3 linked regions of the Lytechinus pictus genome follow. The protein of the gene in region 2 purifies or fractionates together with the protein of the main gene of each other region. This does not show direct contact. Links are inferred from orthologs where the notes say so. Each region holds a gene or a part of one and is shown on either strand. Other genes may lie near its edges.

What was found. Proteins that work in one complex are often made in the same cells at the same time.
Region 1: the proteins of zinc finger protein 830-like (region 2) and RING-type E3 ubiquitin-protein ligase PPIL2-like purify together in Homo sapiens (co-immunoprecipitation; 4 studies listed by BioGRID and IntAct, counting the BioPlex papers as one, with this or other methods). This does not show direct contact. The link is inferred for Lytechinus pictus from reciprocal best matches to the Homo sapiens genes ZNF830 and PPIL2.
Region 3: the proteins of zinc finger protein 830-like (region 2) and peptidyl-prolyl cis-trans isomerase E-like purify together in Homo sapiens (affinity purification with mass spectrometry; 3 studies listed by BioGRID and IntAct, counting the BioPlex papers as one, with this or other methods). This does not show direct contact. The link is inferred for Lytechinus pictus from reciprocal best matches to the Homo sapiens genes ZNF830 and PPIE.

Annotation. Positions count from the first base shown.
Region 1 is NC_087246.1:20,479,546-20,486,681, reverse strand, and holds the start of RING-type E3 ubiquitin-protein ligase PPIL2-like, read right to left. Parts: upstream 3,053-7,136; 5' UTR 2,916-3,052; coding exon 2,884-2,915; intron 1,279-2,883; coding exon 1,229-1,278; intron 601-1,228; coding exon 555-600; intron 111-554; coding exon 1-110. Other genes in the region: uncharacterized protein LOC129283664, read left to right, coding at 3,504-3,519, 4,563-4,808, 6,147-6,277. UniProt on the Homo sapiens protein: Has a ubiquitin-protein ligase activity acting as an E3 ubiquitin protein ligase or as an ubiquitin-ubiquitin ligase promoting elongation of ubiquitin chains on substrates.
Region 2 is NC_087247.1:42,396,173-42,403,318, forward strand, and holds the start of zinc finger protein 830-like, read left to right. Parts: upstream 1-4,109; 5' UTR 4,110-4,153; coding exon 4,154-4,260; intron 4,261-5,983; coding exon 5,984-6,083; intron 6,084-7,146.
Region 3 is NC_087261.1:25,313,968-25,321,197, reverse strand, and holds the start of peptidyl-prolyl cis-trans isomerase E-like, read right to left. Parts: upstream 3,053-7,230; 5' UTR 2,795-3,052; coding exon 2,758-2,794; intron 701-2,757; coding exon 558-700; intron 1-557. UniProt on the Homo sapiens protein: Involved in pre-mRNA splicing as component of the spliceosome. Combines RNA-binding and PPIase activities.

The DNA of each region.
Region 1 (7,136 bases), on a different chromosome or scaffold from region 2:
CTGTGATGGGGTTGGTCTTGTACTTTTTGATGAATGGTACAATACTCATCAGATCAAAGATAATACCATCTGAAGTACAGTAGGGGTGCTCAAAAGGCTGAAGGGATAGACTTTGGATATAAGAAAAAAATGTAAATACTATTTGAATAAGAATACAATCGTTTAATCATATCTTGTGCAAAAAAATTTAGAAGTACATTTATTAAATACAACTGTTTAATTTTTAATTATTATTATTTGAAAAAGTTTTTGAGATTTTGTGCATATGTAGGCCTGCCCCCCCCCCCCGGCACGGTTGAAAAAAAAGACCTGTCATATGATTAATACTTCAAACCATGAAACAATACTAAATACGATATAATAATAATAATAATTCAATACTTACATAGCGCCTAACAAAATTTCTCTAAGCGCTTAAATATATTAATAACTCTTCAATTTACATAAGGAAATGAAATAAGTATAAAATCTTATATATGAAAATATAGCTAATACTTTATAAAATTCCTATGTATTCCCTTCTTTAAGATTTTCTAATGAATGAAATCACATACCTGCAATGATCAAATGGTAATCTACGAAACTCAGATTTCTGTGATTCTGTGATACAACATTAAAATAAGAAAGAAAATTATTCAGTTTTCATAAAGAGTATACAATGTATATCAGGGGGACTAGATGGACAACTTACAATGGCATCACTTTAACGGGTACAAAAAATGGCAAAAAGAAGCTGCTGAAAACTGCTTATCTAATAAAAGAGAGCCAATGGAGTAAATTAGAAAGTCAATAGGGGCCTAAGCTTTCGATCCTAGCAGAATCTTTGTCGGAGGCAAAAAATGTTAAAGTAAAGGGGAAGAAAAAGAGAGAGAAAAATATATACCTTGAAAGTTTAATCCACAAACCTCAGAAGCACTGGTGTACCATGAAAAAATATCAGAGCTCTAGGTGCAATTTCAATGCTAACCCCCTTGCCAGATCTATGCTAAAGGTTTCAGATGTTGGAAAGGGTGCAATTTTAGCACCCACCATGGGGTGAACCCTATCTGAACAAAAAAATAAATACCCAAATGTCATGTTCCAAGTTGATAGCTTGTTACTGCTCATTATTGTGCCATCTGCCTCTTTGCTATTCATCTCAACTCTATGATTATTATAATGTCTTCTAACATTAAAAAGATCAGAGAATAAAGATGGATAGAGATGAGAAAACTTCAATCTCTCTTACCAGTTTTCTTGCCACCGTAGAATGCCGTCCACTCCTTGGAGGTCAGATACCTGTTTCATTGTGAGAAGAAGTTTGCAAACTATTAAAGTAATAGAAATGGTTCCAACACTCGCCTTTCAATCAGAAGATAATAGGTTGAATCCTACTCCAGGGGCCCATCGTACAAATTTATGATGATGGTACTTTTGCCATTATGGTATTAATGCAAATCTTGTTTTGATAGGATGCTGAACTCTGTAACCACGGAACATAGTTTTAAAGGTAAAGTTACCATCATCATAAATCTTTTATGAAATGGGCCAAAGTGATGATTTTCTATTAAAACAGGAAAAAAAAACAGGCAAAGTTATCTGGAGTTTCCCAGGTGAAGTACAGCCAGGGTAACAATATCACATGGTTCACTGTAAAGTGGTTATGATATTATAAGGCCTACAATGCCGCATACTCAAAGTTGCTGCATCAAATCGATCAAATCAATGGATATTTGTAATCAACGTTATTATGGGGAGGGAAATTTTCAACAACATATATTCAACAATAAATTTTAGTATAGAAATAAACATGAAACATTCTATTGTAAATTCAAATGGAAGAATCAGTTGTTTTAATGAAATGTCTGTTAAAAAAATAACTGGTCATGCCGTTTGTTTTCAAGCTGTTTCAAGCTGCGCATGATCAGAAGATTCTGCGCATGATCAGAGGAAGGTCATTTGTACTAAAGTGACATGGTTTTTAAGTTATTGCATTTATTGGGGTCTCTATTTTATCAAACAATTATTGGAATTGCGCATACAATGAATCATGAATCTAGTTTTAAAAATACCACCAAGCTGAATTAAGGTTGTGAACTGTATTAGCGCCACGAACGACCTTCCTTTTATTTCCGTGGAAGAGACGTGCGAAGCCACTTTCCAGGCGGAGGTAAGCGATTTTGCTCTTTTTTGTGTCCTTTTTAAATTAAAAAAATATGTTAAAAATTGAAAATGGAACGCTTTCTACCAGAAAAAGCCCTGGTGAGTAGCGGAATGGGTTTCGGCTAACATCATTCACGTTATGAAGCGATGTTAACGACAACTCTACAAAAACATGTTGGTTGTGCAAGGTTCGTATACGGTATAGCACTAACCTTGCAATGTTGTGAGTGCCCACTATGGCACTAGCTAGCAATACCGATAGCATGCTGTCGGCTTGATTTCTGTGCAAATTCAATCAATTGAATGGGGTGGAGATTTTCTGTGGGGTTTTTTGTTGCTGTCATTTTGAAGATACAATCCTTAATTTCAATTTGTTAGAAAGTTCGCAAACTCAGTCAGCATGGTCAGATCAATCGTCAATGCAGATTTTCAGAAGAAAACCAGAGATTTCTTCATTTTAAATTTCAGTACATTTTTGCGACATCGCCAGCCCCCTCAACCTCCTTCACACAATTCACAACCTGCTTTGTCAGTTTGTGTTTGAAAGTGAAACAGCCAGGCAGAAATTTCGCCTACAGTACAAGAGCAAGCAACGCCAACGGGATTCTACTACGCACTCCGCCGCCCAGACCGGCGTTGTGACATGGGAGAAACCCGCAGGTGCCAGGGGCCCTAAACTAAAGAAACCGTGAATTAAAGAATCAGATGAAAAGGGGGAAAACCATAAAATACAATACTCACATCTTATCTGACTGATGTTGTCTCTTCCCCATCTTGATTTATCGACTCTACTTGAACAAGGTAAAAATTAAATTTCAATAAAATTCCGGAGTTCCGCGTCGATTTTCTCCACTAAGTATTATTAATGATGATCTAAGTTCTACGTCCTACGTACCATACCGTATAGTTTAAAAAAAGCTACCGTAGCTGGCGTTATGTGAATCAAAATAATGGTGAGGGGTATACTCCCGGGATTAATGCCAATGGGTGACTTCGAGTTCAGTGTTGACCGTTTGATGTTGGTGTTAACCTGTTAGGTCAATGTTTACACGATTATAACACCAAACATAAAATGAAGATGGTGCCGAGAAGTCACTCACTAGTTGTTGAGATGTCAATAATGTGATCTGGATCAGTTTTACAAACTCAGAATAGATTTTGGAGCTAAGGGAGGGGGGGGGGGAATTAAGCAATCCAAAGTTTCAACACCAACACCAACACCAAAAAGTAAGTGAGCGATCGAGCGACTCCTTTGTGTATAAACATTATGGCCCGAATTCACCCAAGAATTTTAAACCCCCTCGGGATTTTGAAATCCCGTGTGAAACGCAAATGAAAAACCCAGCTCGGGATTTAAAGGGATGGTCCAGGCTGGAAGTATTCATATCTCAATAAATAATGTAAAATTCACAGGGCAAAATTCTGAAAATATCATCAAAATCGGATAACAAATAACGAAGTTATTTAATTTTAAAGGTCAAGTCCATGCACCCCAGAAAAAAACTGAAAATTTCATTAAAAAATTGGATGCAAGATAAGAGAGTGATAACATTTTAAATAAAATGAATAGTATAGATCTAAATTTATAGATTTCAGAGCGCAGAAACTATTATCTAAATTATATATTCTACTGCACTATATAAGACACCGTTCTCACTCCCTTCCTAAAACTAGTTCAGTGGAAACTAGTTTAGTGGAAACTTGTAGTGAGAACGTCTCTTCACTTAAAAATAAATAGGGCATACATTTTATCAATCCCACCTCTTTCCAACCTTAAAGCAAAGATAATTAATATGTACATCAAAAAAGATATATTTTTATAAATGAATTCAAACGATTTATTCGACTAATGCCATTCCTGCTAGTTTTAATAGTTTTACAAATTGTAACATTATAAGAACAGTTTGAGCATTATGATTATATGACCAATATTAGTGCAATTGAGAAGAATATTATTTTAACAGCAATGGAAAGTTCCTTTCTGTTTGAGAGTTCGAGAGTTCATTCAGTCAGTGCGCTAGAGGGAGAAGGAGAGCGACTGCTACGAGAGAGAAACTCTACTGACATCAATGGACTGGTGGCGCCTAATGTAATATTTTGCCGCACTACTGACGTGAATAGCATTGGTCGAATAAAATGTTCAAATTCAACTGTAAAATATATCTTGTTGTTGTTTTATATTTTGAATGTACATAATTAACTTTGCTGATTGGTTCGAAAGAGTCTAATGATTAATAGAGTTTATTTGTTTTTCGCGAAGGAAGCATGCGAGTCCTTATGATATACCAACAATGTCAAATCCCTTTCCTTTAATTTTCTTCTCATATCTTTTTGATACATTAATGAATATCTCCCTATAATTATGCCTTGCTGTGAAAGAGTTTAGTCGAAAAGGCCACCTAATTACCAAAAATTGAAAGAGCGGAAGACACCATGCGACGCCGATGAGGTCAACCAGACGACACCACCTACAAAGAAGTTGGGCGTCGTGTCATCCAAGTTCTCTGTCGACTTTCTCGCTGAAAGCAGTCGATCGACGTCAGAGTCAACGACAGTTTCATTGGACCCACATCTTCAATGTCATGGCGTCACTCAGCTCCACTGCACGACATCACGTGACTCAACGAAAGGCGCCACCAGTCCATTGATGCAGCAGCGTAACAGGGGTCGGTGGCCAAGGGGGGGCAAGAGCCAAAAATGTCCCGGTCATATCATGGAACAGGCAATGGCGTCATAAGGCAAAAATTTTGAGGGGGCGATATGGCATATCGGGCCAATATATATATATATATATATATATATATATAAGCGAGCGAGCAAAATTTTTATACATTTTTATTGCAAAAATCCAATTTTGTGATAGATTTTGACATAATGTTAAAAAGATGATATCATAATTATTTCACCCTCCTCTTTTTCCTTTTTTCTCTCTTTTTTGTACGCCACGGTGAACAGGATTTTTGTTATGATTGTGAGCATCAGGGCGAAGCTCTATATGCTCGAGGGGGCCGAGTATGGCGCTTCTGGCAAGAAGTAGCTTAATATAGGTCCGGGGGAGCGAAGCGAGCGAGATAAAAAAAATCACCTTTTCATGAGAATCTAACATGAAGATAGATTTTAACGTGATATTCAGAAAAATATAATACACTTTCCTTTCTTTCCTCATTTTTTTTTTGTTTCGTTGTAGAACTTTTGGGGGCCATGGTCCAACTCATCCATATAACAGTGCTTTATGGTGGGGTCCAGGGTAGAACCCCGGAACCTCTTGATATCAAAGCCATAAACCTTGCAGATGGCCACTTATTTTAATCAAATTGCGTGTATATTTATAAAGCTTTAACACAACACATAAATTCAATGCAGTTGTGTATCGTAATCATCCACATATTGTGAGGGGCACACCATAGCAAATGTGGGAAAATTTGTAAAAAGTCGCCAGCGAGCGAAGCGAGCCAATAAAAAAAAGGCCTGTTAAAATGAAATTCTAATTATGTGATAGATTTTTACATCATTATAGCAAATATCATGTCATATATTTTTTTCATTCATCTAATTTCGCTGCCTCCTTTATTTTCTTTTATTTCCCCCCCCCCCGGTATGCCAGTGTTTCAACGTAAAGCTTAATGCAGGAAGGGTCCATATAGGGGCCTTTATTTCCCGCTTTTGTTTGCCTTTTTGTCATCTTTAATTTATTTCCCTGTCTTACTAATCATGCTACTGTATTATATCGGGGCGAATTGTTTTTTCTCACTTGTTCTTTTTTCCTTCCTTTTCCCGTTATCTTTCCGTTTTCCCTTTTTTATGTTTTTTTCTTAGTTTTCTTTTCCCTTTTCCTTTCCCTTTCCCCTTTTTTCTTTTCTTTCCTTTCCCTTTCCCTTTCTTCCTCCCTTTTTTTCTTTTTCCCGTTTTTTTTTTATTTTCCCGGTGAGCTCCGCCAGGGGGGCAGCTTACCCCCCCCCCTGCCCCCCCCCCCGCCTGTTACGCCACTGCATTGGCGTCAGTAGACTCTCTCTCTCGTAGCAGTCACTCTCCTTCTCCCTCTAGCGCTGAGTATCTTCACCGAACACCGTCTTCTTTCTACACACCAATGGGTTATCATCCGTATATGTCTTCTGCATCAACTTCTAGGCACTGACTGAATGAACTCACGAACTCTCAAACCCAAAAAACCTTTTAATTGCTGTTATGATTCTTGCCAAGTGCAGTAATATTGACCATGTTATTAATAATGCATAAATTGTCCCTAATGTAATATTTTGCCGCAATACTGACATGAATAGCATGCATTGGTCGAATAAATTGTTTAAATTCAACTGTAAAATATATCTTGTTATTGTTTTATATTTTGAATGTACATAATTAACTTTGCTGAAAGGTTAAAAATAGTCTAATGACTAATAAAGTTTATTTGTTTTTCGTAAAGCTAGCATGCGAGTCCTTACACTCTTAAAAATGTTGGGCAACATACGGTCCACACAACAATTGGTTAAAACTTTATCCAATTCTGGGTAGTTTTACACCAATAATGTGTGCTTTGGGTGAAAACTACACAGTATTGGTGTAAAACTACCCAGAATTGGATAAAGTTTTAACCAATTGTTGTGTGGACCGTATGTTGCCCAACATTTTTAAGAGTGTATGATATACCCTCAATGTCAAATTTTCCCTTAATTTTCTTCTCACCTCATTTTGATACATCAATGAATATCTCCCTATAATTATGTCTTGCTGTGAAAAGTTTTAGTCGGAAAGGCCACCTAACTACCGAAAATTGAAAGAAAGAGAGGGAAAAAGGCAAATAAAAGAAGAATATAGGAGACGTAAAAAGAAAATGAGAATGGAAAGTAAATGAGAAAGAAATGAATGTAAAGGTATAAACGGGAGAGGGAGAAATAGAAAAAAGAAAGAAAAGGAGTGATAGAAAATGGGTGAGAAAGATAAACGGGATTTAAAAAAGAAGTAACTAAAACAAAAAAAAAGGTAATTTCAGGGAA
Region 2 (7,146 bases):
AATTTGTTGAGTTTTCTATTATTTATAAATAATGATTATTTGTTAAATAATGAAAACGTCTACTTCATTATTTATAAATAATTTTTTCGAGTGCACCATTATTCTCATTATTTATAAATAATCATTATTTAATGTTCGAGTTTTCCATTATTTATAAATAAAGATTATTTGTTAAATAATGAAATATCTACTTCATTATTTATAAATAATAATTTTGTTTCAATATCCCATTAATCATTATTTATAAACAATTTTTACAGTTTGCCATTATATACAAATAATCATTATTTATATACAAATAACCATTATTTATTAAATAATGCCATTATTTATTAAATAATGCCATTATTTATTAAATAATGCCATTATTTATTAAATAATGGAAAACTCGCTATAACATGCAAATGTGGGACCGCCCATGATATGAATATTCATGATGCGATTTCCTTTTTCGTGATTTTTCTTCACAAATTTTTGTCCATTTCCTCTTCATAATGACATTTCTTGAAGCAATTTTCTAGGGATATGGTCTGATTGTAATATTCTTCATTTTCTATATAACTTCGTCTTCGTAGAAATATCAAAAAGTGTAATTTTATACGATTTTTCCTACAGTTCACAATCCCCATAGGCGCGCGTGTACGGTAGGGACAACCGGTGAATCGACGGAGTGCTCTTCATCGAAATACTACGTTGGTTGGTCCCCGGAAGTGGCGGGCGGAATTTAGCCCGAATCCTCGATGGAAGTCGATCAAGTGCATATGAGCTGAGAGAGTGAAATATCAGTGTACTTGTACAGGCCCTTCTACTTTTTATAAATATTTCTTGTTGCTTTTTTTGTTAAGTTAATTTTTCCTGGTGTAGAGATAAGTTTCAGTTCTAATAATGCACTTCAAATACATTTTGGAGTGTCTGTTTGAGGCGTTTGGGGCGATTTCACCCTGGCCCCAAAATGCTCGCAACGACAATACGGGGGCATGATGACCCCTAAATTTTAAAAAACTTATTTTTCTATTGAAAATTATCACAAAATTCACCAAAAGTGTGCACGAAAGCCTTCGTATTTCACTTTTAAAACTCCAAAAGTGCCCAAATGACAAGCTTGGTCGCTTCGCTGTGTCGCTTTCAACTTGAGAACGTTTACGCGTCTGCTTCGATATCCCCCCCCCCCCTCCTCCGAAAGAAATTCTGTATACGGCCATGCTCTAAAGAGCCTGGCACATTGATTTATGTATACTTTCATTTTCATTATTTTTATCTCATTATCAACATGGCCTTACGCATAATTTTTTCCAGGGGGGCCGGGGCCGGAGCATGACGTACGCGCGTAAACTTTCTCATAAAAATCTTGAAAAAGCGAAGCGACCAAGCTTGTCATTTGAGCTTGGTCGCGTCGCTGTCTCGCTTTCAAGATTTTTTTGAGAAACTTTACGCGTGTCCTAGCTGCTCCCCCCCCCCCCCCCGGTAAAAATTCTGTGTAAGGCCATGATGATAATGTGATAAAAATAATGAAAATGAAAAGTACATATAAATCAATGTGCCATATGCTCTTTTGAGCATGGCCGTTCACAAAATTGTTTTCGGGGGGTGGGGGCAGACGCGCGTAAACGTTCTCAAGTTGAAAGCGAGACAGCGAAGCGACTAAGCTTGTCATTTGGGCTTGGTCCCGTGGCTGTCTCGCTTTCAAGATTTTTTTGAGAAAGTTTACGCGCGTCATGCTCCGGCCCCGGCCCCCCTGGAAAAAATTATGTTATACCGAGGTTGTTTTACCTGACTGCTAAGAAAGCACGAATGCCTGTGAGCAAGCAACCAGTGGACCAACGGCTTAAGGTCCTCTCCGAGGGACCTGGTAATGAGGATAAATGCCTTACCAAAGGGCACTAGCGCACCACTTGGGAATCGAACCCGGGTCACCGGAATCCGAAACCCCCGCTCTACCGACTGAGCTATCGCGCCTCCCTCATGCGTAAGGCCATGTTGATAATGAGATAAAAATAATGAAAATGAAAGTATACATAAATCAATGTGCCAGGCTCTTTAGAGAATGGCCGTATACAGAATTTCTTTCGGAGGAGGGGGGGGGGGATATATCGAAGCAGACGCGTAAACGTTCTCAAGTTGAAAGCGACACAGCGAAGCGACCAAGCTTGTCATTTGGGCACTTTTTGGAGTTTTAAAAGTGAAATACGAAGGCTTTCGTGCACACTTTTGGTGAATTTTGTGATAATTTTCAATAGAAAAATAAGTTTTTTTAAATTTAGGGGTCATCATGCCCCCGTATTGTCGTTGCGAGCATTTTGGGGCCAGGGTGAAATCGCCCCAAACGCCTCAAACAGACACTCCAAAATGTATTTGAAGTGCATTATTAGAACTGAAACTTATCTCTACACCAGGAAAAATTAACTTAACAAAAAAAGCAACAAGAAATATTTATAAAAAGTAGAAGGGCCTGTACAAGTACACTGATATTTCACTCTCTCAGCTCATATGCACTTGATCGACTTCCATCGAGGATTCGGGCTAAATTCCGCCCGCCACTTCCGGGGACCAACCAACGTAGTATTTCGATGAAGAGCACTCCGTCGATTCACCGGTTGTCCCTACCGTACACGCGCGCCTATGGGGATTGTGAACTGTAGGAAAAATCGTATAAAATTACACTTTTTGATATTTCTACGAAGACGAAGTTATATAGAAAATGAAGAATATTACAATCAGACCATATCCCTAGAAAATTGCTTCAAGAAATGTCATTATGAAGAGGAAATGGACAAAAATTTGTGAAGAAAAATCACGAAAAAGGAAATCACATCATGAATATTCATATCATGGGCGGTCCCACATTTGCATGTTATATAGCGAGTTTTCCATTATTTAATAAATAATGGCATTATTTAATAAATAATGGCATTATTTAATAAATAATGGCATTATTTAATAAATAATGGTTATTTGTATATAAATAATGATTATTTGTATATAATGGCAAACTGTAAAAATTGTTTATAAATAATGATTAATGGGATATTGAAACAAAATTATTATTTATAAATAATGAAGTAGATATTTCATTATTTAACAAATAATCTTTATTTATAAATAATGGAAAACTCGAACATTAAATAATGATTATTTATAAATAATGAGAATAATGGTGCACTCGAAAAAATTATTTATAAATAATGAAGTAGACGTTTTCATTATTTAACAAATAATCATTATTTATAAATAATAGAAAACTCAACAAATTATTTATAAATAATGAAAAACAAATAATCATTATTTATAAATAATGAAAAACAAATAATCATTATTTGTAAATAATGAAAAACAAATAATCATTATTTATAAATAATGAAAAACCAATTATCATTATTTATAAATAATGAAAAACAAATAATCATTATTTATAAATAATGAAAAACAAATAATCATTATTTATAAATAATGAAAAACAAATAATCATTATTTATAAATAATGGAATGTCGAACTATTATTATTTACAAATAATGAAGTATTACTTGGAATTATATATAAATAATTAGAAATGATATTTTATATAATAGTAGTTATTTACAAATAAAATGTAAATTATATATAAATAATAGTTATTATTTAATAAATAATGATTATATAACAAATAATTGTTCTATATAATATTGGTACATTCGGCGCCTCATAGTTGTTGTGTGTCCGGACGATCAATTTTAGAAAGTCATTTGGAACAATTTACAAGGGAAGTTTTATCAATTTTTAGTACAAAATGTCAGGAAATATTATAAAGAACCAAATAGAAGATGATTACAACTATTGATTTCGTATTTTTAGTGTAATCCAAAGACAAAAAAGAAGGCTTCAAAAATATAAAGTGTCCGGACACCCGACCCCCCATCCTACTAACGTAAAATAATATGCTTTGATCCAATTGATCCTTATACAAAAAATCCAAAGTTAGCCTTACAGGGGCCGCTGAACGGGGAGTGGGAAAATAGCATTTTACAGTACGAGAGCAGCCATGTACAGAAATGTGAAAATTGAACACCAAATTTTGTGTATTAACCCCCTGCTAGCTCTCTCCGCATATTTTTTCCTCCGTTCTAACTTTGGACTTATGCTGGCGCCCTTGACGTTACCGCACCGTTCGTAGACAAAATGGCAGCCTCCAGTGGGAAAAAGAAGGTAGATCTTCGGGAGTTAATGAGACAGCAAAAGGCTGCAAAGCAAAGCAGTGTCAAGAGAATTGAATCACCATTAGCAAAATATCCTTTAAAATAGTATTTCAGGCAAGAAATTAATAAATTCGGCCATTGTCAGAGCTAAAGCCTCGAGTTATTTTACTGTCTTGAATTATTGTAGTCCCATGTTATTAAGTTTACGTTGGTCATTTGATTGGCGTTTACTCAAAACGGTTTAGGTAGGGACACTCACACGTATTGCGAGGTTAGTATTACTATTAGTATAGGTAGGGAGTTCGGTGATTTTTTTAAAATCTTGAAGAATCCCAACAAATTTGATATCATTGGAAAGCTTGTGAAATAAGAAAAATAATGGTGCTTCATTTAACTCATTGTCTGATATATTGACGGAGATATTCCAATTTACAGGGGAAAATATGCAGATTTTGTTCTGTCAAATTTTTTTTAAAGGCTTGTTTGAGTGGGGGAGACAGTTGCTTTTTGAAATCTTGAAGGAATCCCAACAAATTTGGTACCAATGGAATGCTTGTGAAATAAGAAAAAGAATGGTGCATAAATCGACTCATGATGACAAATATTGACAGAGATATTTCTGTTTAAACGGTAGAATGTGCAGATTTTATTTACAGCAAAAAGTAGATTTTCATAACTTACACAAAATGCAATGAATGGGACTGTGCAATACTTTTTTAAAAAGTGCAATGCGCTGCTTTGCGGGGCAAGGCATTCCCTTGAATTATACATCATTTTATTCATTAAACTTCAAAGTTTCTCATGGTATAGGTTTCTATAGGGTTTTTCCTCCTCCTTTAAATTTAATGGCTTCATATTTGTTTTGTACATGGGTGCACAGACAGATACAAATTCTGAAAGTGGCATTTTCACCGAACTCCCTAGTTTAGGTTTGACTATTAATATTAGTTTAGGGTCTAGTATTAGTCTTAACTTGGTGAATTCGCTGCTATTTTTGTTTTACTCGAGAAAGGCATGCATCGTATTGCCAAATTCCTTGTTGTGTTCAGCTGCCATAAAATTTAAATCGGCCAGTGCAACTCAAGGCTAAGCAAATATTTATTTACTTAGTCTTAGCCCAGCCCGGCCCAGTCTCTTTTTATTATTATTTTACTGTCCGAATAATCTAGAGAAAGTTTCTATCTGATACCTGTCTGGTCAAAACACAAAAATTTAGATCCTCTAAATCTATTTTCTTTTGTATAAATTCACAATTGATCAGCTTTATGAAACCCCTACCCAGGTCTAGTTGATCTTGATGGATGGATAAAATGATAGAGTAGTAAATGTAAATATTGTTGGTCATGTTACTTAGTCTTAGTGCAAAGAAAGTTGCAAAATTTAGTTTTATTTCAAATTAATAATTTAAAAGTTAGGAACAGTTACTCCTGCAAGTTTTCATCACGTTTACTAGGGACCATGATATTGTGATATAATTTGGGGTATTATAAGAGATGATAGTTATGGGATGATCAAAATAATATTATCATTGTCAATGAATATGACAGAAATAGAAGAAAGATCTTGGCAATTACAATTTCGATTTATGGAATTACATCCAGGCATTCACTAAGACACAATTCAGGGGATCCAGTTGTAAAATTATTGTGAAAAATCAATGTTTTGAACAGACTACAGAGTTGCAGTTGTAATGCTATTTTGTGATTGAAATGGTCATAGCTTGCGAGTTTTTGTTTATTTTGTTCTGGATATCTGATAAAGGTCAAACTTAATGTTTTGTTAAGAACTAAATAATTCCTTAACACTGACATACGTATAACAACCTTGGTCAGTTAATCTGTGTAGTTTGTAATCAGCAGGTGAAGAATGAAATACTGTGGACAGCTCATATTCAAGGAAAGAAACATAAAGATGTAAGTAATATATATTCTACATAATTTGTATTTCTCCACCTCCTTTTTCTTCCCCATCTCCTTTCTATTTTGTATCATCACCTTCACTATTTTTTCTTGATTATAATTACAAATAATTTGTTTTTTCACCCCATGACAGGATTATTCATCATTCTCTCTTTTTTTTTTACTTGAGGCTTTTCATGATTCATTAGTCAAGAAACAATTCCTCTTTTATATGCATAAAGTTTCATGAACATAGTTGCAGTCAGTGTGCTCTTTAATATAAGTTCAAACTGATTCCTTTTTGTCTCACCTGCATAGCAGTGTGAGACTATAGGCACCACTTTTTTTATGGCGACGGCGTCAACACCAAAACTTAACCAAAGGTTAAGTTCTTGTTATGACAGCATAACTTAGAAAGTATATGGACCTAGTTCATGGAACTTAGACATAAGGCTGATCAAATATTACTGAACATTTGCCAGAGTTTTAAGTCACATGACCAAGGTCAAACGTCATTTAGGGTCAATGAACTTTAGCCAAGTTGGGGTTATCTGTTGAATTACCATCTTATCTTTTATAGTTTATGGATCTGATTCATGAAACTTGGACATAAGAGTAATCAAGTGTCACTGAATATCATGTGTGAGTTTCAGTTCACATGATCAAGGTCAAAGGTCATTTAAGGTCATTGAACTGTGGCCAAGTTGGGGGGTATTTGCTGAATTACCATCATAACTGAAAGTTTATGGATCTGATTCATGAAACTTGGACATAAGAGTAATCAAGTATCACTGAACATCCTGTGCGGGTTTCAGGTCACATGACTAAGGTCAAAGGTCAATGAACTTTGGCCATGTTGAGGGTATCTGTTGAATTACCATCATAACTTTGAAAGTTTATGGATCTGATTCATGAAACTTGGACATAAAGAGTAATCAATTATCACTGAACATCCTGTGCGAGTTTCAGGTCACATGACCAAGGTCAAAGGTCAATGAACTTTGGCCATGTTGGGGGTACGTGTTGAATTACCATCATAACTCCAAAAGTGTATGGATCTAGTCCATAAAACTTGGAC
Region 3 (7,230 bases), on a different chromosome or scaffold from region 2:
GTCGGATGGGACAAGGGCAGATTGAGAGACAGGGCCATCTTTCATTGCTAGGTTGAATACTAGTGCCGACGGGTTAAATACTAGTGCCAAACACCATCGCCGTATAATTCGATCGCCCGCGCACACAGTCGACGGGTTGAAGAAAAAAATAACGGAAAAAGAATAACGGAAAAAGAATAACCAGCATTTGCTCTTGAAAATAAGACGGGTCTGAAATTCAGGTAAATTTTATATTTCTATATATTTGAGGAAACTCTCCAAACGGGTTGAATACTAGTGCCCTTACGGTACTGGTAATTCTTTAAAAATACACACATCCGTCTCTGAATCACTTTAAGCTGATCTAACCCTACAAATGTACGGTACACTTGGTTCAAATTCCTCAGTTTACCAATACATAATTCTGATTAAAAAGCGATGTGGTTATTGTTCGTTTTGGGCCTATTTCACGCCATAGTAGTCTCATCAGTGGTGAGACGCTTGGTGGTGAGAACTCAAAGGTAGAGAAACTGTTACATGTAGGTAATTAAATAAAAGAATAAATACAGGAGCTTTACCTCTGCAAACTCAAACTCTACAAAAGCAAAACCTCTGTGCTTTTCAGTCTCATAGTCAAGGGGGATTTGTATGTCCATGATATCGCCAAAAGGAATGAAGGCTGCATGAAGCGTCTTCTCTGTTACCTCTTCTGCCAATCCTCCTAGAATCCGAAGAAATGATAGTTGATACATGATTAACAAATTGCTATGGGTTTGGAATGTAGCCTTATCACAACTAATAATAATATTAATAATATAGGATTTCATTTGTATAGCGCACGTATCCACCTTGCTAGGTGCTCAAGGCGCTCCTATATTACCCCGGCTAAGCTAGTCTACCAATTCTGGTGCGCACGGCTTTTTGAGGAATTACTTCCTGCCGGTACCCATTTACCTCACCTGGGTCGAGTGCAGCAGTGTGGATTTAATTTCTTGCTGAATATCAGATAGAGTTCACGGTCTCGAAGTTCGGGTAGGTGGACCGTAGTGTAGTGGTAGTGAAGTGGAGTGGAGCCTGCACGAACTTAGCTCGAGGTACATGGGCGTTAGATTGTGCTGTTGCCGTGTTGGGCATGTGCACAAATAGTCATGCGTGAATTTGCCCCAAGTGTTCTTGCATATTATATTTTGAGTGGTTCGTTTAGCGGTATCTTAACATTTTCTGGCAGCCGAGACCGAGTTGATGGTCTATCAATGTGACATGTTTCCATGGCTCCTCCGAGAGGCTCAACACAGTCCCAGGGTAGCGAGCATGGTGAGGGACCATTTCTTCTGTGTATTTTTTTGGCACATAACCACAATCTAGTTTGCTATTTTTCCAGAAGTTATAGGGAATTTGTGTAACTTTTAAGTAATTTTTATTATGTTTTAGCCTTGAAGATCATTTTTAATTTATGTGTTTTTAAATGAAGAATTAAGAGCTTTCTAAATTTTGTGGTCCTTGCTAAAAAAATCTTGACAAACTCACTCATTCAATTAACAAGGTTATGATATAACCTTGTTCTCAGTTACATCTCCATGTTGTGTGGCAAAAATAAGGTAGTGCCACTAGTGGCAATTTTGGATTATTTTCTCTTTTTCTATGGGACAAATGCTTGTTTTTTTTACACTGTCAGTTTCCAATACAGCTATTCATCATATAACTTGGCTCTTATGTAAATTTGATTCTTTAAATCATTTTTTCTTAATCAAAAATAGAGATTGAAAAATGAAAAATTTCTTGCCATGTTAGTTACTTTCCACCAATAGAGGGCTTACACAAAAATATGCTCAAAATTCAAGTTTTTGAGCACTCTGGTGAAAAAAAACAATTATTCCCACGTTACTAATGAAAAATAAATTGCAACTGTATGAAAATTAGTAATTTTGGTCACAAAAGTGATATTTTAATGATTTTTTTAAGTATGTGCTATGTACAGCATTGGCATACCATAGACTAGTTCTACCCACTTGTTCACTGCAACCACCCTGCCTGTGGGGAATCTACAGGTTGGACTATGGCATGCCAATGCTGTACAGAGCACACACTTTAAAAAATGATTAAAATTTCACTTTTGTGACCAAAATTACTAATTTCCATACAGTTGCAATTTCTTTTTCATTTGTAACTTGGGAATAATTTGTATTCACTAGAGCGCTCAAAAACTTGAATTTGGGGCATATTTTTGTGCACGCCCTCTATTGGTGGAAAATAATAATATGGCAAGAAAATTTTCATTTTTTAATCTCTATTTTTAATTAAGAAAAAAATAATTTTAAGAATCAAATTTACTTAAGGGCCAAGTTGTATGACGAATAGGTGCAATGGAAACTGTCGGTGTAAAAAAAATCAAGCATTTGTCCCAAAGAAAAAGAGAAAATAAGCCAAACATTGCCATCCTTATTTTGCCACACACATGACATGGAGATATAACTGACAACCACTAGGTTATATCATAACCTTGTTCATTGAATGAGTGGTTCTACCTGTAGATTCCCCACACTCCACAGGCAGGATGGTTGCAGTGAGCCAGTGAGCAAGTGGACAAACTCAAGTTTTTTTCAGGACAAGCAAACACACAAACCATCATATGGGACTACGTCTACGAATTAGTACACACGTATTTATTCTCAATTATATATTGCCATTTCATTTTCATAAGTAATGAAATAAATGAAAAAATATAGACGTCCCTTCGATCAATAGCAAAAATCATTGGGAAATGGATTAGAAACTCACCAACGTAAGCGATTCTCTTGGTATTTGTTGACGACATGACTGATTACGCTTCGTATCTCGCTCGATTGACTAGTAAACTACGGTAGGCACTTATGATCCAAGTTTGAAAGGAGACTCGTAAAATGACGTCAGTCTCGCCGATGAATATTCATTAGATCGTGGTCGTGCGTGTTCAATACACACTGCGTGCAGGCATGCAGATACTAGTAGTTATATGCGAGGAACTTTGGCTCCAGAGACAAGTTGTCAAATAACGTGTGTGTGTGTGCGTGTGTGTACCATCGGCTGGTAGTATGCCATGCTGTCTAAGACTTCAAACGCGTCGGAGAGAGTGCATGGCAATTCGGTAAAACGAAGTTTCCGATATAAAGAGATAATAAAATAACACTATGTACAGTACGCCCGGGGGGGCCACTTACATTGACGAGTGGATACCATGCGCGACCAAAAAAAACACGTAAAAAGGATGTATTTTTCAAGAGAGGGCACGTTACGTACGTAACGTGATAAGGGTGTCAAAAACACAAAAATATTGAAAAAAGGGTATCTATTTCCAGTACGTTGAGAGGCAAATGTCAGACTCAGATCAGGGGAGGCAGGAGTACAATCAGGTTTTTTTAAAGGGAAGAATAGTGTAGAATAAAAGGTATTATATATAGCCAAATGATCTAGGTGAGGGAAGTGAACAATGATGTTTTTTTAAAAAAAGAATGAATATACCTTACCTGAATATTATGGTGAAGCCAATTTAAAAGGAGGTGAGACAAGTTTCAATGGAGGTTTTAAAAAAGAATAAACTGTATTATGGTGAAGCCAATTTAAAAGGAGGTGAGGCAAGTTTTAATGGAGGTTTTTAAAAAGAATAAACTGTATTATGGTGAAGCCAATTTAAAAGGAGGTGAGGCAAGTTTCAATGGAGGTTTTTAAAAAGAATAAACTGTACTACAAATTATGGTGAAGCCAATTTAAAAGGAGGTGAGGCAAGTTTCAATTGAGGTTTTTAAAAAGAATAAACTGTACTACAAATTTAAAAGGAGGCGAGGCAAGTTTCAATGGAGGTTTTTAAAAAAGAATAAACTGTACTACAAATTATGGTGAAGCCAATTCAAAAGGAGGTGAGGCAAGCCTCAATGGAGGTTTTTGAAAAGAATAAACTGTATTATGGTGAAGCCAATTTAAAAGGAGGTGAGGCAAGTTTTAATGGAGGTTTTTAAAAAGAATAAACTGTATTATGGTGAAGCCAATTTAAAAGGAGGTGAGGCAAGTTTCAATGGAGGTTTTTAAAAAGAATAAACTGTACTACAAATTATGGTGAAGCCAATTTAAAAGGAGGTGAGGCAAGCCTCAATGGAGGTTTTTGAAAAGAATAAACTGTATTATGGTGAAGCCAATTTAAAAGGAGGTGAGGCAAGTTTCAATTGAGGTTTTTTAAAAGAATAAACTGTACTACAAATTTGAAAGGAGGTGAGGCAAGTTTCAATGGAGGTTTTTAAAAAGAATAAACTGTATTACAAGTTATGGTGAAGCCAATTTAAAAGGAGGTGAGGCAAGTTTCAATGGAGGTTTAAAAAGAAATAAACTGTACTACAAATTTAAAAGGAGGTGAGGCAAGTTTCAATGGAGGTTTATAAATAGAATAAACTGTACTACAAATTATGGTGAAGCCAATTTAAAAGGAGGTGAGGCAAGTTTCAATGGAGGTTTTTAAAAAGAATAAACTGTATTACAAGTTATGGTGAAGGCAATTTAAAAGGAGGCGAGGCAAGTCCGTTTTTAAAAAGAATAAACTACTACAAATTATGGTGAAGCCAATTTAAAAGGAGGTGAGGCAAGTTTTAATGGAGATTTTTAAAAAGAATAAACTGTACTACAAATTTGAAAGGAGGTGAGGCAAGTTTCAATGGAGGTTTTTAAAAAGAATAAACTGTACTACAAATTATGGTGAAGCCAATTTAAAAGGAGGTGAGGCAAGCCTCAATGGAGGTATTTAAAAAGAATAAACTGTATTATGGTGAAGCCAATTTAAAAGGAGGTGAGGCAAGTTTCAATGGAGGTTTTAAAAAAAGAATTAACTGTACTACAAATTATGGTGAAGCCAATTTAAAAGGAGGTGAGGCATACATATGTAATGTCTTTCAAGCTGTATGACAAAAATATTCTTTTCCATCCAACATCAGCTTCTACTATTTTTTAAGGTTAGTTTTTATTGTCATGTTGGCAAATTGTGAAATAGTTCATGTTGAAATTACCTGTCATGCATTTGTAATGTTATTTTTTTAGAATATATTCTGTCATCATTTTCAGTACATAAAAGTTTATTCAATGTATGCCTTTACCAAAGTTGGCCATAAGCACAGTGGGTACCAACTATCACTGAAGACAACACAACAATTACTCAAAATATATGCATAGCCTTATGAATGTACAAGTCAATAAAATCTACTATGACTACATAGCTTTTTTTTGTGCAACACAGTCATATTTCATTTGGATCAATTCAAAATTGAGTGGTGTTTTGGGGGTAATGATATGGTAACTGCAGTTCTGTTGTCCTCTGACAGTTGGTGTTGTAAGGATGTGATTGGCAGTGTGTGGACGTCATGTTATAAGAGAAAAAAGTTAAAGTGAGAGTGTTGGCTTTGAAATGGACTCAACCTATGAAAGTTAAAGTTTGTGCTGCAGAAACTGGTGTGGTAGTAGGATGATAATGATGATGAGGAACAGGGCCGGTATTCAATGCTACTCTTAAAGCCACAATTTCAAGTATATTTTACTCAGTATTTTGCAAAAGTAAAATACTTATCCATCTTTGGTATTCAATTGCATTTTTTTTGGGCTAAATATTTTGCTTAAATGTAAGTCAGCCATCTACTAGACTTAAGTCTACATATACAAAAATGATACGCACAGAAATACATTCACACATTTGGCACTATTTGGCTCAAAATTTATAACATCACAATGGGTATTAGTATTTAGTTCAATTTGGATAAGGTAAATTCTGAGATCTGATCTGCATACAAGTTTAAGCATTTTGATAAGCCAGCCAAATTGCTAAGTAAAATACTTACAAAATAAAAACTTAGAATTTAATAGGCGGCCGAGGTATTATTTTCTTCCAGAGGACATGTACAGATTTCTTGTTGACAAAGGATGACATGATGATTATTTTGCAAATATGGCTTATTAAAAAATATATTATGTATATTCCATTTCAGTGACAATTGCATTTTTGGGGAGGGGATATTACGTATTTGGGAATGGAAAAGTTCAAAATTAATGCAAACTTAACCTATTTACGCAGGGGGGGGGGGGGGGCTCTGAGCTCTGCGATTTAAAAAAAAAAGTCTTTTGCATGTTTTGAGACCAGTTTTGCGAAGCCCGGGTACTGGGTTCTGAAAATTACCAAACAATTTGTAAGTGCATATCAGACAAAAATGGCTCAAAATTGTGATATTTGTGTACCACGTCAATGGAATATGCGTTTTCAACCAAAATTCATGAATGCCTAATTGTTTTTAGTTTTGTTGAACTAAACTGATTTATTTTATGCTGTTACGAGAGTCCGAGCATCGTTGAAAAATAACAATGCAATACAAAGGTAAAAACACAAGAAATACATTATCGAAGAACACCACAAAGAGTTTCTAAACCAAAAATTAGAACATTTGGAGCTTTATTTAGGGAGTTAGAGGAATAGGTATAGTATACTAATTATGCACAAATGAGCATAATCAATTAATAGCAATTTGCATGAAATAAATAACTACACAATTTTGTGGATTATTAAAAGCAATTGCGAACTTTCTCTTCACTATTCATTGTTTTTAGAAACCTCATTGAAAACTTGCCTCATGCACCTCTCAAGATGGCTTCATCATTTGAATTATATTCTACACTTATCATTCTTTAAAAAAAATCATTGTAGACATATGCCTCACCTCCTCTCAAATTGCCTTCACCATAACTTGTAATACAGTTTATTCTTTTTAAAAACCTCCATTAACTAATTACCTCACCTCCTTTTAAATTGGCTTCACCATAATTTGTAATACAGTTTATTCTTTTTAAAAACCTCTATTGAAACTTGCGTCGCCTCCTTTTAAATTTGTAGTACAGTTTATTCTTTTTTAAAAACCTCCATTGAAACTTGCCTCACCTCTTTTTAAACTGGCTTCACCATAATACAGTTTATTCTTTTTAAAAACCTCCATTAAAACTTGCCTCACCTCCTTTTAAATTGGCTTCACCATAATACAGTTTATTCTTTTTAAAAACCTCCATTAAAACTTGCCTCACCTCCTTTTAAATTGGCTTCACCATAATTTGTAGTACAGTTTATTCTTTTTTAAAAACCTCCATTGAAACTTGCCTCGCCTCCTTTTAAATTTGTAGTACAGTTTATTCTTTTTAAAAACCTCAATTGAAACTTGCCTCACCTCCTTTTAAATTGGCTTCACCATAATTTGTAGT